Linked DNA regions of Mus musculus. The protein of the gene in region 2 purifies or fractionates together with the protein of the main gene of each other region. This does not show direct contact. Links are inferred from orthologs where the notes say so. Each region holds a gene or a part of one and is shown on either strand. Other genes may lie near its edges.

Region 1 (4,520 bases), on a different chromosome or scaffold from region 2:
CAAGACTACGCCTCTTAATCCTCCCCAAACAGTGCCACCTATTGGAGACAAAGCCCTGAGTAAAGGACAGAAAGAATGCTAGTTCTGTGTTGTTGCCCAGGAGCAGACATGACAAGGTTCTAGTCTGAGACCAGGGCCTCAAAGGACTTAACGTTTAGGTTCCTGGGAACCTGCCTTTCCCCTGGAGAAATTGGAATTGTCTGTGTGTGACACACTTGAGATAGCCTGGGATCCTTTCGAGAAGCATTGTATGGCAGCTTTCTGCTGACTCTGTCCCATCCTCCTCGAAGACTCTATAAGATTGTGTACTTCTGTCGGGCAGTGGTGGCGCACGCCTTTAATCCCAGCACTTGGGAGGCAGAGGCAGGTGGATGTCTGAGTTCGAGGCCAGCCTGGTCTACAGAGTGAGTTCCAGGACAGCCAGGGCTTCACAGAGAAACCCTGTCTCAAAAAAAACAAACAAACAAACAAACAAATTGTGTTCTTCTTAATAAACTTGCTTGGCATAAGCTATCAGCTTATGCACGGCCTCCTGGTCCTGACTTCCCATCTTCTTTATTTCCTCATCCTCAACTCTTCCCCTTAGGAACCTGTCACTGAAGAACAGCCTCCTGGTCCAAGTCAACCAAGGATTTATTTGCTCTAGACTGTGGGATGACAGTCTCATTCAAATCACCACACCTGTTAAAAATGTTTTTGTGGCTGGTGGGATCTCCAATGATTTTAGTTAAGCAGTTAAGTAAGCATTCACTGTCTTTAGAATTTGTCCCTGGTTCCTTCCATCCTGCAGGGTCAGTTTCAGAGCCTGGAGAGCTCCATGCACAATTCTGCCTCCCAGGTTCCAGCTCTTATGTCTCATTGTGTGTGCTCAGGGTCCTTCTCCCACCTGGAGACAGTCAGGACTACACAGAGAAACCCTGTCTTAACCCTCCGCTCCCCCAAAAAGTGAAAATGTGGAGTACAAAAAGTATATTAACTCCTCCACGTTTGTTTTCTTTCTGAACTGTGTCTTTGTGAGTTTACTTTAGCTCATAGCAGAGCTTTTGAGAGAAGAATGAGTTCAAGGCCAGCCTGGGCTATAAAGCAAGAAAGACCCTGTCTCCAAGAACAACCAAAAAGATTAGTCTTGAACTTGGTCAACCCTCTCCAAGGTGCTATGAGGTCCCTAGGTCCTAGCTTCTTTTTTCTATTCACAGACATCACTGTCTGTGAATAGAAAACGTTGCGATGCACAGTGTTTGATCCTGCTACAAGTTGAGAAAGAGAAGGGTTAATACGGCTTTCTCGTTCTGTTGCTAGATTTGAGATGCTTGATGCTGCGAAGAACAAGCTCCGGGTGAAGGTCAGCTATCTAATGATTGCCCTGACCGTGGCAGGATGCATCTATATGGTTATTGAGGGCAAGAAGGTGAGAGTGGGCTCCTCTCGGCCTCACCATGCTTTCCCCAAAGATGGAGGAACGTGGTGCCTGGCTCACACCTTAGCTCTGTGAAGGGGAACACGTCGTGTGAATTTACTGGCTCGCAGAATACTCTGTATTAGTGTACTGACTGAGTGCTCAGTGCACTCCAGGCCCTTCTGAGTGGTGTCCTCATGTGCCCCTCACAACTGCTTTGCTAGACAGATGCTACCATGAGAGGAGGAAAGTGTAGCTTCGGATGCTTTAGCAGCAGGCTGGAGAAGGAGAGCTCAGCGGCAGAGGCCTGATGACATGAGTTCAGTCTCTTCGTCCCAATAGCTGGTAGGAGAGACCCAACTCCTAAGACTCACCCTGGATGTTCCACATGCACTCTGGAGCACATGTGTGTTTGCACACACACAATAAATAATAGCGTTTTAAAGTAAGTATTGGCATATACTTGCCCAAAGCCATGCATTTCCCTAATGACAGAATTGGAACCTAGACATAATTGAGGTAAAGCTAAAATTGCTCCTCAGTACAGAATGTGTGCTCTACAGCAGCAACTGTTAAGCTCACTGGATGTGAGAACCTGAGAGCGCTTTCTCTCAGCAGGCTTTGTAATGAAGGAACCTGAAGCTCACATGCACCATACACTTTCCAGAACTCACATAGTAAATGGAGACAAAAACTTGAAATTAAAAAAAAAAAAAATTCAAGCTGGGCGGTGGTGGTACACGCCTTTAATCCCAGCACTTGGGAGGCAGAAACAGGCGGATTTCTGAGTTTGAGGCCAGCCTGGTCTACAGAGTGAGTTCCAGGACAGCCAGGGCTCTACAGACAAAACAAAAATAATCAAAAGAAAAACTTTAGATCTAATTTTGCATGTACCAAATATCCTATTAAACCATCTTGTTATTAAGATATAGTTACTCTGGAGGCTGGAGAAATGGCTCAGTGGTTAGGGCCTCTTGCTGCCCTTGTAGAGAATACCCAGGTTCGGTTCCCCAGCACCCACATGGCAGCTTACAACCATCTGTAACTCCAGTTCCTGGGAACCTGGCACCCTTTTCTGGCCTTCACAGATACCATGCACATATGTGTACATGTACATACATACAGGTAAATATCTATACACACAAAATAAAAATAAGTAAAATGTAGTGTGTGTGCGCCTGCTTTTAAACTCAGACACACACTTTGAAAATCATGTCTAGTTCTGTGTTACAGCTTTCACACAGAGAAACTGTTAGTCCATATTTAAAAGCTACCTCTGAAGAAGCACTTGTCAACTGATCTTCTCCTGAGCAACTCCAGAGTAAAAAGGAAGGGAACTGGGGACTCTGCGGTGACACTGCGGTCACATAAACGCACTAGCCATTTCAGTCTGGCCTCATAGGGGCACAAAGGGCCACGGGGGCTGACCTGGGAGAAGTTCTCTTGAAAGTGAGCCTGTTCTACTTCACTTTTCCCATCTCCTCGTGTGACCTCTGACCTCCCATTCATGGTTCTCAGACTGAAAGCTTTAGAAGCCTGTGCACGGGCACGTGGGTTTCTAGAAGTGTGAGAGATGGCTGGCTGACGTTCAAGATCTCCAGGAGTGAATCCCCCTAGGACGTCCTCCAGCACCTTCCAGGCTGTGCTAGGAGGAGAAGCTTTTGCGCTAACGTCATTTAGGAGAGGAGTTAGTTACCATCATGCTTTGTCTTACCGCTGACATTTGTTTCCCATCCATTTTCTCCTCCCACCAAACTCTTCACATGTGCAGTAACATGGATGTCAGAAAATCCACATACTTGACATAAACATTGGTCTGATTATAGAAGCTTCATACAACTTTAACAGTTCCCATTGAGGGAAGCCAAAGAAATGGCAGGGGCTCCCCTGCTGCCAGTTGCTTTGAAGGGGTGGAGTTCTGGGATAGATAATTCTAGAAGTCATCAGGGATTCCCAAAGCTGCATGTTTTGTTAAAAGAAAAGGCTAGAAAGACAGGAAAGTGTACACGAGTTAGGGAAGCAGAAAGGAGAAAAGTGGAGGTGAAGTGCTGTATATTGTAGAATAGGGAAGGGTGTGAAGAAGACATGGGATTGTAGAGAGGCCGCACATGCAGAGAAGGGGGAGCTGTGTATTTCTCTCCCGGGAGGGGGTGGAAGGTGTGTAGAGAGCATGACTGTCCAGTGTCCAGGCAGCTGACCACTCCTGGCCTGTGCTGCACAGCTAGCCTACTGCTCTCAGCACAAGGGGAGAACAGCCTTCCAGACCTGCCATCATCTCTCCAAATGTATTTCCTTTTAGGCTGCGAAAAGACATGAGTCTTTAACAAGCTTGAACCTGGAAAGGAAAGCCCGTCTGAGAGAGGAGGCAGCTATGAAGGCCAAAACAGACTAGAAGTATTTGGAAAACCCAGGAGTAAGGCTGCAACAAGAAACCTGCTTTACAAAGGATACAATCTGAGACTCACTTTGCAGACATGTATTTTGCACAGATGTATTCCACTTCCCTATTAATGCTGTAGAGGAACAAATACATTTTCTTAAAGAATGACTTGTCTTTGTTTTGTTGCTTTCATCCAAGTAAAACCTAGCCTCCCCACTGTGCAAAGTGGAAAAGAGGCAAATAATTCCAAGTTTATAGTATTATCTCTTCTTGGGAGTATCAGGTTCATTAGCTAGCTTCTTCTCACCTACCAAAGGTGAGACATGAGTCCTATAGGTCTCTCTTATGTATACCATGCCTGACAGGATAAGAAGCCAGGGTGTCTTTGTGAAGGCTGGCTCCCCATGCACTGAATGGTCTGGCATGGCAGTAGGCAGAGGCATTTTGAAGAGCCTTTGAGAATGCCCTGGCATGAGAGTAGTCTGGCCATGAGTTTTGAGTTATTCATCCTGGACTTTCTGGGGGACAACTGCTACCTCCTAGTTCATGGCTTGGCTCCCAATCAGTCCCTTTCCTACCCTCAGGGTATTACATTTTGTACTTAGGAAAACGCCATGCCTGTACTTCTAAGTGTTGGAAAGTAACCACTTAGATCAGTACATCTCCATTAGCTTGTCCTTAGGCTAGCAAGGTGTCTGGTATGCGGGTAGTTTCTGCTGTTAACACTTCACTGACTCTCACACG
Region 2 (4,322 bases):
AAATGCAACAGATCTAAGCATCAAGAAACAGCACCACAAACAACTTAATAGATACCAGTTACATGCAGAGCAGCATGCACACAGTACCGAGCAATCATAGTTTAGCATGAACATTAAACACCCATCTCCAATCTCACAATAAAAACTTCTAGAGAAGAAGGAGAACAGTGCTTTACTTTCTCCCTTCTTTAACAACAGTCGGGAAGGATCAACACATATGAAAATAGCAAATTCTGTAGAGACATTCCAGTCAGGATAAACAGGCAGACATCTCCATGGATGGCTGTTAGAATGTAGCCACTATACTAAATGGTCATTGTAGTCAAATAACCAAGTTACTACTCAGAGCCCAGAACTCTGACAGGTACTAAGAGAAAGGGTTACAGGAGTCACGGCCTTCATGCTTGTCATCTACCTGAGTAGACAGTCCCAAATAAGCAATGGCTTTCCCAACTTCTCCATGCAATCATGGTAAAACATACATAATAAAGGAATATAACAAAACCATGTGAAATGCAGAAATCACATACAAAGCCAATAAATCAGACTACACATAAATCATTCAAAACAAATTAGCTTCTGCCTCCTTAAGGGAAAAGAGCTGTAGATATTTATGGGCTATGAAATTAACAGCTTCGTGAAAACGAATCAATAACTTACCACACCGCTGCATGACTTCGTCTTCACATCCAGCTTCACCAGCCCAAAGCCTTCAAAAAGAGAGGGCAAAGATATGATTCTTCTGCAGAAAAGACGTATACCCACACTCAAAGTACTGTGAACATAATCCCAAAGTCCGGGACAGAAATGGACAAATGCACAGCACATGAAGGAACATTTACAAGCAGTCAGCTCTGCTAAGGTGACAGTAGCGCTGCCTAGTGTCCTATAACTGGCTCCACTTCCTGCCGCACCCTTTTCAAGCCATTTTTAAACGTTAGATTAAAAATCAGTTCCTCAGACTGGCCTACTGTTTATGGCAACACACTTAGGACTTTTATCCCAAAAGGGTATCACCAAAGAGCAAGGGGTAGTGGTATGTGCAAAACAATCAATTTTCAAGAAAGCACAAAAATTGACTCAAAACTCTAAGGTTTCCACCTACCCAGAGTCATAACCACAAAAATAAAACAGTAATTCTAGGCAGCTCTATCCAACCATGGTCTGAACTGTCACTTAAAAGAATAAAGTACAGGCTTTCCCCTCTCCCTAGGGGGTGGGGAGTGGGGTGGTACTCGCCTCCCATCACTTGGGAGGCAGAGGCAGGTAGATCTGAGAGTTCAAGGCCAGCCTGGTCTACAGAGTGAGTTCCAGGACAGCCAGGACTACAGAGAGAAAGCCTGTCTTGAAACAAAACCAAAAAACAACAACAAAATAAAAAGAACAAGCTTTTCAATTGTGACCGAAGAAAGGCTAAGAAAGTGGGGTACACATGCAGCTGGCAGAGGCATGAGTGCAGCAGGGTATTCAGTCTAGAAAAGCAAAGCAATTAACTTTTTTCAAGAGGTCCAAGCATATATTTTTCTCTTTTATGTTTAAAAGGGAAAAAAGTCCTTACCAAATCCTTTGTTGAAAATGTCTCTGGCAGCTTTGCCGAGGTCAGCATAGGGTGGAGGGATACACATCGCTAGTCAAAAGAAACATTCTACAGTTAATGTGAGCTACTACTAGGACCTACTGCTAACATTTACATTCAAGCAGTTCAACCGGAGTGGGTTTTGATGCCACTAGAACTTCAATAAATGTTATTCTAAAGTAGCCACCCATAACAAAAACTTATTTCTAAATAGCTATGTGGTAATACAAACCTGGGACATTTCTACCAAGTTTTAAGAATGGGGGAAGCCTTTCTAATTCCTAAACATAAGTGTCTACTGCCTACACAGTTGCCAAAACTCAAGGTGACTGATTTAACGGAGATAAAAACCAAAATTTAAGCTTAGGCGTTCTCCCCTAACAAACCTTTGGGAAGGACTTCCAAAATCAAAACCAACACTCTGGGAACTGGCACAATTGAGACACGGGCAAAAAATACAACCATCTATGTCTACAGCAACTAAATATCAAATGGCACTTTAAACACATTACTACGGTCCCCCAAGTCCTCCGACAACGTGAGGCTTAAGGGCAAGGAATCCGAGCTCCAGGAGCAGCTCATTCATTCTCCAGTGCACATCCACGCCCTTAGGAACACGTGTAATGACCTTGTAGTGCACTCGACCTGTGCAGGCAGACAGCGAACTACTTCCTCTTGCAAAGTGACTGCTCTAACTCTCCGCCCCCCCCCCCCGAACCCCAAGATGGAATTCAACAACTAAGTGTTTTGCTTTCGGATTTGTAAGTAACATATCCAAAAGCCAAGGGTGGGTGCGGCCAAGGACCAACGCCCCAGGCGCGAGCCCCCCTATCTGCAACCCAACAGCCCAGCACCACGTCCGTCAACAGAGTGGCAGTGTAAGACTTAGGGGGCGCGCAAAGAAGCAAACTTTCCAAGTCTTTGCAGGCATCATGTGGGCCACGGCGGAACAAGGTATGGTTCTCTAAAGAGGAACAGCACAGCCCCCATGGCCCCATCGCGCAAACACCTCTTGTGCTACTTACGCCGTGGGCATACCGGTACACAGCACTCAGCCATGGCGAAGTCGCGGGGAAAAGGTGATCTGTGAAAGGGACAAGAAGTGCGGTCAGGGGACAGTCAAAGGGTCCCCTGGGGAGCTCGGACATTAGAGAAAGGGGCCGGGGCCGCTGCGGCCATCTTAGGGGACCAGGGCCGCCCTGAGTTCACTCAGGCTGCCGGCCCGCCCTAAGGCCCCAGAGTCGGCAAGAGGCGGGCACCATAGTACCTGCGGGTGTCCTGAGGGGCGCTGCCGCCACCGCTCGGCTCGCAGCTGAGGCCACTCCGCTATCTGAAAGTTGCGCTGCAGCCACCGCGGCTGGAGGGCGAAGTGAAGGAGACACCGTTGCGCCCCGCCGCAAGCCTGGCCTCCCCCAGCCAGGTCCCCGCCGCGGCCGCCCGGGCTGTCTACCGCGCCTGTCCTTGCCGCTCCGCCCGCTGCCCACTCCCACCTGCTCCGGAGTGACCACGTGGGTCGAGAGCACGGCGGTCTCCTTGGGTGAGCGGTCTCGGACCGTCCGGCGGGGACGGGGCGAGCAGGAGCTGCGGGGCCTCGGGTTAGGCAATGTCCAGGACAGCCCCAGAGGCGAGGACCTGGGAACGGCGGAGGCGGCGCAACGGCACCCGCGCGGTCAGGATGGGAGTGGCCACGCGAGTCGCGACGGGGCGGGGCGATGTGCCCCGCAGGGTCACGTGCACCCTCTCAGCCTCCTCCCTGAGTCCCAGCCTGGAGGTCTGAACTTAAGGTCCGGGTTGAGGGGGATGAAACACTCTCCCCAAGTGCAGCCTCCATGCTCTTCCCATCTCGGTTCACCGCCCACCGCCATGTCCTCCCCTGCTGGGACTAGGCTGGGCTCCAAAGGAACAAACTTGAGCCAGTCTCTGGGCATTTCTCTCGGAGCCTCAGGGTTGCGCTCCTGCAGCCTCCGTCTCACCCATATATGGTATGGGTTCACACACGCGCAGAAGCACATCCTGCTCTAGGAAGAGAAGCTTCCCCTGGTTGAGAGGCCTGGAGAGACAAGGGAATAACTGTAGGATTCATGCTGACCAGTCATTAGAATGCTGCTCTCAAGTTCTTTAGATATGCCAGAAGAGGGAGGGAGCAGCCAGTCCTGATGCCTATACCTGTAGTCCCAGATCTGGGCGGCAGAGAAATTACACCAGATTGAGGCTAAACTACAGAGTGAGGCAAAAGGTTAATAAAGATAAGAGACCGCTGGATAGTGGTGGTGCACACCTTTAATCCCAGCACTTGGGAGGCAGAGGCAGGTGGATTTCTGAATTCGAGGCCAGCCTGGTCTACAGAGAGAGTTCCAGGACAGCAAGGGCAATACAGAAAAACCCTGTCTTGAAATAATAATAATAGAGACCAGTTTGAGGCTAAACTACAGGGTGAGGCAAACAGGATAATAAAGATAGAATCGGAGGCTCAGTGAGTAAGAACCCTTATCTTGCTGTGCATGCAAGGGGACCTGAGCTCGGATCCCCAGCACCCAACACCCACATTAAAAGCCAGTAGTAGTTCCAGAAATAGAAACAAGAGGGTCACGGGGGCTCTGTCAACCTGGCCTGCAAACCGTGTTCTCTAAATTCTGTAAAAGGTGAAGAGCAGTAGACACTGTTCAAAACACACACACACACACACGTCAGCCATACAGAAGATTTAAAATGGAGACAACTGACACTTCAGCTCAATAAACTCAAA
Region 3 (4,368 bases), on a different chromosome or scaffold from region 2:
GATTCACAACTCCTTTCGTACAAGGACAGCTCTTACAGGGTTAGGATCTCTGAATATGAACCACAACTGACACCAAAAAAAAAAAAGAAGGCAACCAGGAAAGTCACCATGTGGTTGTCAGCAGTCACCTGGAAGACTTCACTAATAAAGCTATTTTTAGAGCGCATGCCAGTTCCACCCTCCTTCCTTTACTCCTGAGGTTCTACCTTCAGTGTAAAACCTGGGCCCCTGAATGGAGGGAACCAGAGAGCCATGGCAAGCAGAGGACACAGGGCTTCTCCAGCATGCATCACTAAGTCTAGCAGAGCGACAGTAAGCTTTCTTGTCAGCTAAAAAGGAAAACCCATCCTCTGCTCCCACATGACAGTGCACTGGACGAAGTGGCATCTAATTCCCTTTGAGAGAGGGCAAAAAATATCATACAACAAAAAGGGAATCACGTTTAGTGCTGGTGGTTACTCTTTAAAAGAGGTGATCAGACTATCACCAGACTATGGCCCTCTCTTACAGGAGCAAACCTAATGCTGACAGAGATGGGGGCTGAGGTTGGCTCAGTTGTCGGACAGACAAGTGTAAGGACCTGAGTACAGATCCCAGGACCCACATTTAAATCAAGAAAAAGAAAAGGAGAGGCAGGCAGATTTCTGAGTTCGAGGCCAGCCTGGTCTACAGAGTGAGTTCCAGGACAGCCAGGACTACACAGAGAAACCCTGTCTAGAAAAACCAAAAAAACAAACAAACAAACAAACAAACAACCCAAAAATGAAGGAAAAAGAAAAAGGGTAGGTTCAGAGGCATCTGCAACACCCTCGGGCACGTGCATGCGTGTGTGCACGTGTGTGCATGCGTGTGTGCACGTGTGCGCATGCGTGCACTCACTGGCTAGCCTGCTAGCAGTGGATAGGCTCCAGGGTCAGGGAAGAGACCCTGTCTTCAAAAAGTAAATAATTAAAAATTAAAAAGGCGAGCAGTAAAGTAAGACACCCAATACCCACCTCAGGCCCACACAGATGCACATGTGCATGCATACACAACACACAAAGAGTTGGCAAATATTTCAAGTAGTTAGCCAGAACAATACACATCTGGATATCTGATTCACCTGAGGGAATAAAATAAAATAAAAACTACTTTTTGCAGAAGCCTCCGATTCTTTCTACATCCGAGTCATTCCTTCCTAAACAGCTCCTGGCTCTGAGACTCATCATTTTACAATTCTCTGAGGACACAACCCAGCCATGCCTTCTTCCCTGAGTCAGGACCCAGTAATGCCTGACACACATGTGGAAGAAAAACATCTCCCAAATGAAGGTGCCAGCCACTTGTCTTCTCCAGCCTCTGCTCACACATGACAGTGCACTGGACGAAGTGGCATCTAATTCCCCTCGAGGGAGGACAAAAATATCATACAACAAAAAGGGAATCACGTTTAGCGATTCCTCTTCTAAACTCATTACATAGGTTTACAGCCCGTAAGTATACCAGGCCGGGTAGCAAACTAAACTATTGACAACCAAGGACACCAAACTTTAGTCTGGCCAGCTTCAGAAGTAGTTATAATTCACTTTCCAGTTCTTACACTCAATTCTGATCCAATATTACCAAGATCGAAGAGAAATATGCCAACAAGAGATTTTATTAACTCAATCATGTGGGTATCAGTTGCTGAAGTCACAAGAAAGAGACAAGAGTTTATTCTTTGGAAAACCAAAAACACAAGATTTTCAACGGTGAAGAGTCAACAGGTTAGGTTGTTGTAGAAATTCTTGTAGAAAGGTGCACACAGTAGGCATGCCAGACCTGACTCAAGGAAAAGAGCTGGCTAAGAAACCTATTCAAATCCAATACATACCTTGCCAGAATTCAAGATCTTCTGGTTTGATGACACTACACTACCTTATATGCCTTGTAATATGCCTTGTAAGTCACAAGTACAAATACAACATGGCTTTAAGGTAGGACTAAGAGGCTCTCAAATGACATCACTAGACAGGAGGTGGAGGGGGGTGCTGATGGCAGATAACAGGTGGCAGGCTTTGGGGGCATCTAAAGTACAAGAGGCCAGAGGCCAGTAAGTGCTAAGTAGTCTAGCTGCCTATGTTTCAACCTCTCACTCTGAAATTTATCAGCGGTGTGACCTTGGTCGAGTGCCTTAGCCTCTCTGTTCTTCGCTTTCTCTGTAAGTAGGCACTGCCTCGGTGCTTCGGAGGGGCTGTTGGGAGAACAGGGCAATTTGTGCGGTCTTGCCACGCAGCCCAGCAGCCGAGAAATCTCAAATCTTCACAACCTTACTCTCAACATCGGCACGATTATGAGCCAGGAGGACATCAGGCCATTTGAAAGGCACTCGGGAGGTCCTTCTTCCCGGAACTTCGGAAACGGGATTTACCCTGCAGGACCCTGAAAGCTCCTGTCTCCCAGTGCCGGCGGCGGGCCGGGGCATGTGACGCGCCTGGCAGCACTGCCTCGGTGGCCGGCCGGCCGGTAGCTCTTCCCACCCAGCAGGTTGCCGGTGGGGACGCGCCCAGCCCGAGGATCCCGTACCCGCCACCCACCGATCGCCGATCGCCCTCCGCCCGCCGGGCGCCGCCCCGCCTGGCCCGGCCCAGCTCGGCGCTCGGCTCGCCGAGGACGCCAGGCCCGGAGGCCCAAGCGGCGGCGGGGGAAGGGCGGCCGGGGCCCGCTGCTCACCGCAGGGTCAACGGAGGAGGAGACACAACGCAGGCCGCAACAGAGACGTCCGATTCCGGCTCCAGCAGGCTCCTCGGAGCTGCCCGGCCCCAAACACCGCCGCCAACGCCGCCGCCTTGGGCTTTATGGTCAAAGCTCCGGCCTTGCTTCCACTTCCGCCACCGCCGCCGCCCCGAGCGGAAGTGTCTGTCACGAGACGCCCGACGCCAGGGTTGGAGGGAGGAGCCCCACCTCCACCTTGCGTCACGTTCCGGTCGCGTCAGGCCCTAGCCTGGCATCTGGGGCTTAAATATGGCCGTTTCTAGATGGGGGCTGCCATCTTTGAAGGCTGTGCAGAAGCTGGAGCGCACCATATTGGGCCAAGAACTGATAATGCAGTGGTGTCCCCCCCCCTCATCCCACCCCGCTCCTATAAACAGAGCTAAAGGAGGGAGAGTCACTTGGTCTTTCCAGAGTGTCCCCCTCTGGAACACGCTAGTCAGTCAGCCATGTATCAGGCAGGGTATAGTCTAGGGTCTTCTGAGTCCACTGGGTACAATCTCTAATGTGGATGGAAATGATCAGTTACAGTGTCCCCAGTGTTGGAGACCCAGTGATGAAATAGGAGCTACCTGTGCAGGGCAGATGGTTCAGGAAAATGGAAAGAGAGCTAAGGAGTTGCTGAACTGAAGAGACATGAGGCTGATTTTAGTGTCACGCCCACCAAAACTAAAACAAAGGCCTAATCCATCAAAGTCCATATCTTTCTGGGGAAGTCTCAAAATGTACTAACCTTGCTTTTTAGCTTCTGTAGTTCTGTTTATGGCTGACAGTTCTTGTTAACTGAAGTATGTCAACCCAGAACATGTTTTTTTGTGTGCTTAAAAGCTCACCCTGAGAAAGACTCAGGTTGTCCTGGGGTATTGAACACCCAGTGCAGTAACCAGCTGCCATTTCTTAGCTTAAACCCATATCTGAGTAGTCTTTTCTGGTGAATACCCCACAACACTAGTACATGTTCTAGCATATAAGGAATAGAGAAGGTTTGTAGGTCCTAAGGAATAGGGGAAAACAAGACCTTTCTGCCAAGATCCTCACCATTTGATATAATAGACACACACACAGGAGTTTGCTCAGTTTCAATCATTAGTTAATTATTACTTGGCCATTTGACTGAATACTTTGAAACTAAGATATGAACAAAGGAAGTCTATGTATATTCATATGCAAAGTGAAATCTTCAAGAAATATGAAGTGACAAAGTAGGGTGCAAAGATGTATATGTGACAGTTCTTGGTTCTTGTTGGGGAAAAAAAAAACACATACTTGCTGGGTACAAATTTCAGCAACTAGTTATCTGGGTTATCTATTAAAATTTGACCGGATAGTAGGACCCATATGAATCTGGTGGTCCAGTCAGACTTTCCACAGTTGTAGGGATGCAGGAAGCTGGTTCAGGCCCTGTCTCTCTACCTCATGTTGGATATAGCATCAGCCTCCACATGGCAGATAGACCAGCAGTTTGGAAGCAAAGCTGCATGTGGCTAAGAGCAGTGATACACTAGACCCAAGGAGGAAAGTGGGAGACAACTATGAGGCCCAACAGGAACTGTGTCTGCTTTTCATCTCTTCTGACTTTAGTTCCCCTAGAGTAACTCACAGAGCAGCCAATGCCCTATTCTAACCTCCACGGGCACT

Evidence for each region.
Region 1: the proteins of Vdac2 (region 2) and Fam162a fractionate together in Homo sapiens (co-fractionation; 3 studies listed by BioGRID and IntAct, with this or other methods). This does not show direct contact. The link is inferred for Mus musculus from reciprocal best matches to the Homo sapiens genes VDAC2 and FAM162A.
Region 3: the proteins of Vdac2 (region 2) and Rab7 purify together in Homo sapiens (affinity purification with mass spectrometry; 3 studies listed by BioGRID and IntAct, with this or other methods). This does not show direct contact. The link is inferred for Mus musculus from reciprocal best matches to the Homo sapiens genes VDAC2 and RAB7A.

What each region holds. Positions count from the first base shown.
Region 1 is NC_000082.6:36,043,267-36,047,786, reverse strand, and holds the end of Fam162a (protein FAM162A), read left to right. Parts: intron 1-1,299; coding exon 1,300-1,408; intron 1,409-3,695; coding exon 3,696-3,788; 3' UTR 3,789-3,943; downstream 3,944-4,520. UniProt on the Homo sapiens protein: Proposed to be involved in regulation of apoptosis; the exact mechanism may differ between cell types/tissues.
Region 2 is NC_000080.6:21,830,189-21,834,510, reverse strand, and holds the start of Vdac2 (voltage-dependent anion-selective channel protein 2), read right to left. Parts: upstream 2,951-4,322; 5' UTR 2,844-2,950; intron 2,661-2,843; 5' UTR 2,636-2,660; coding exon 2,602-2,635; intron 1,628-2,601; coding exon 1,559-1,627; intron 711-1,558; coding exon 661-710; intron 1-660. UniProt on the Homo sapiens protein: Non-selective voltage-gated ion channel that mediates the transport of anions and cations through the mitochondrion outer membrane and plasma membrane.
Region 3 is NC_000072.6:88,042,382-88,046,749, forward strand, and holds the start of Rab7 (ras-related protein Rab-7a), read right to left. Parts: upstream 2,890-4,368; 5' UTR 2,692-2,889; intron 2,637-2,691; exon of another isoform or gene 2,556-2,636; intron 1-2,555.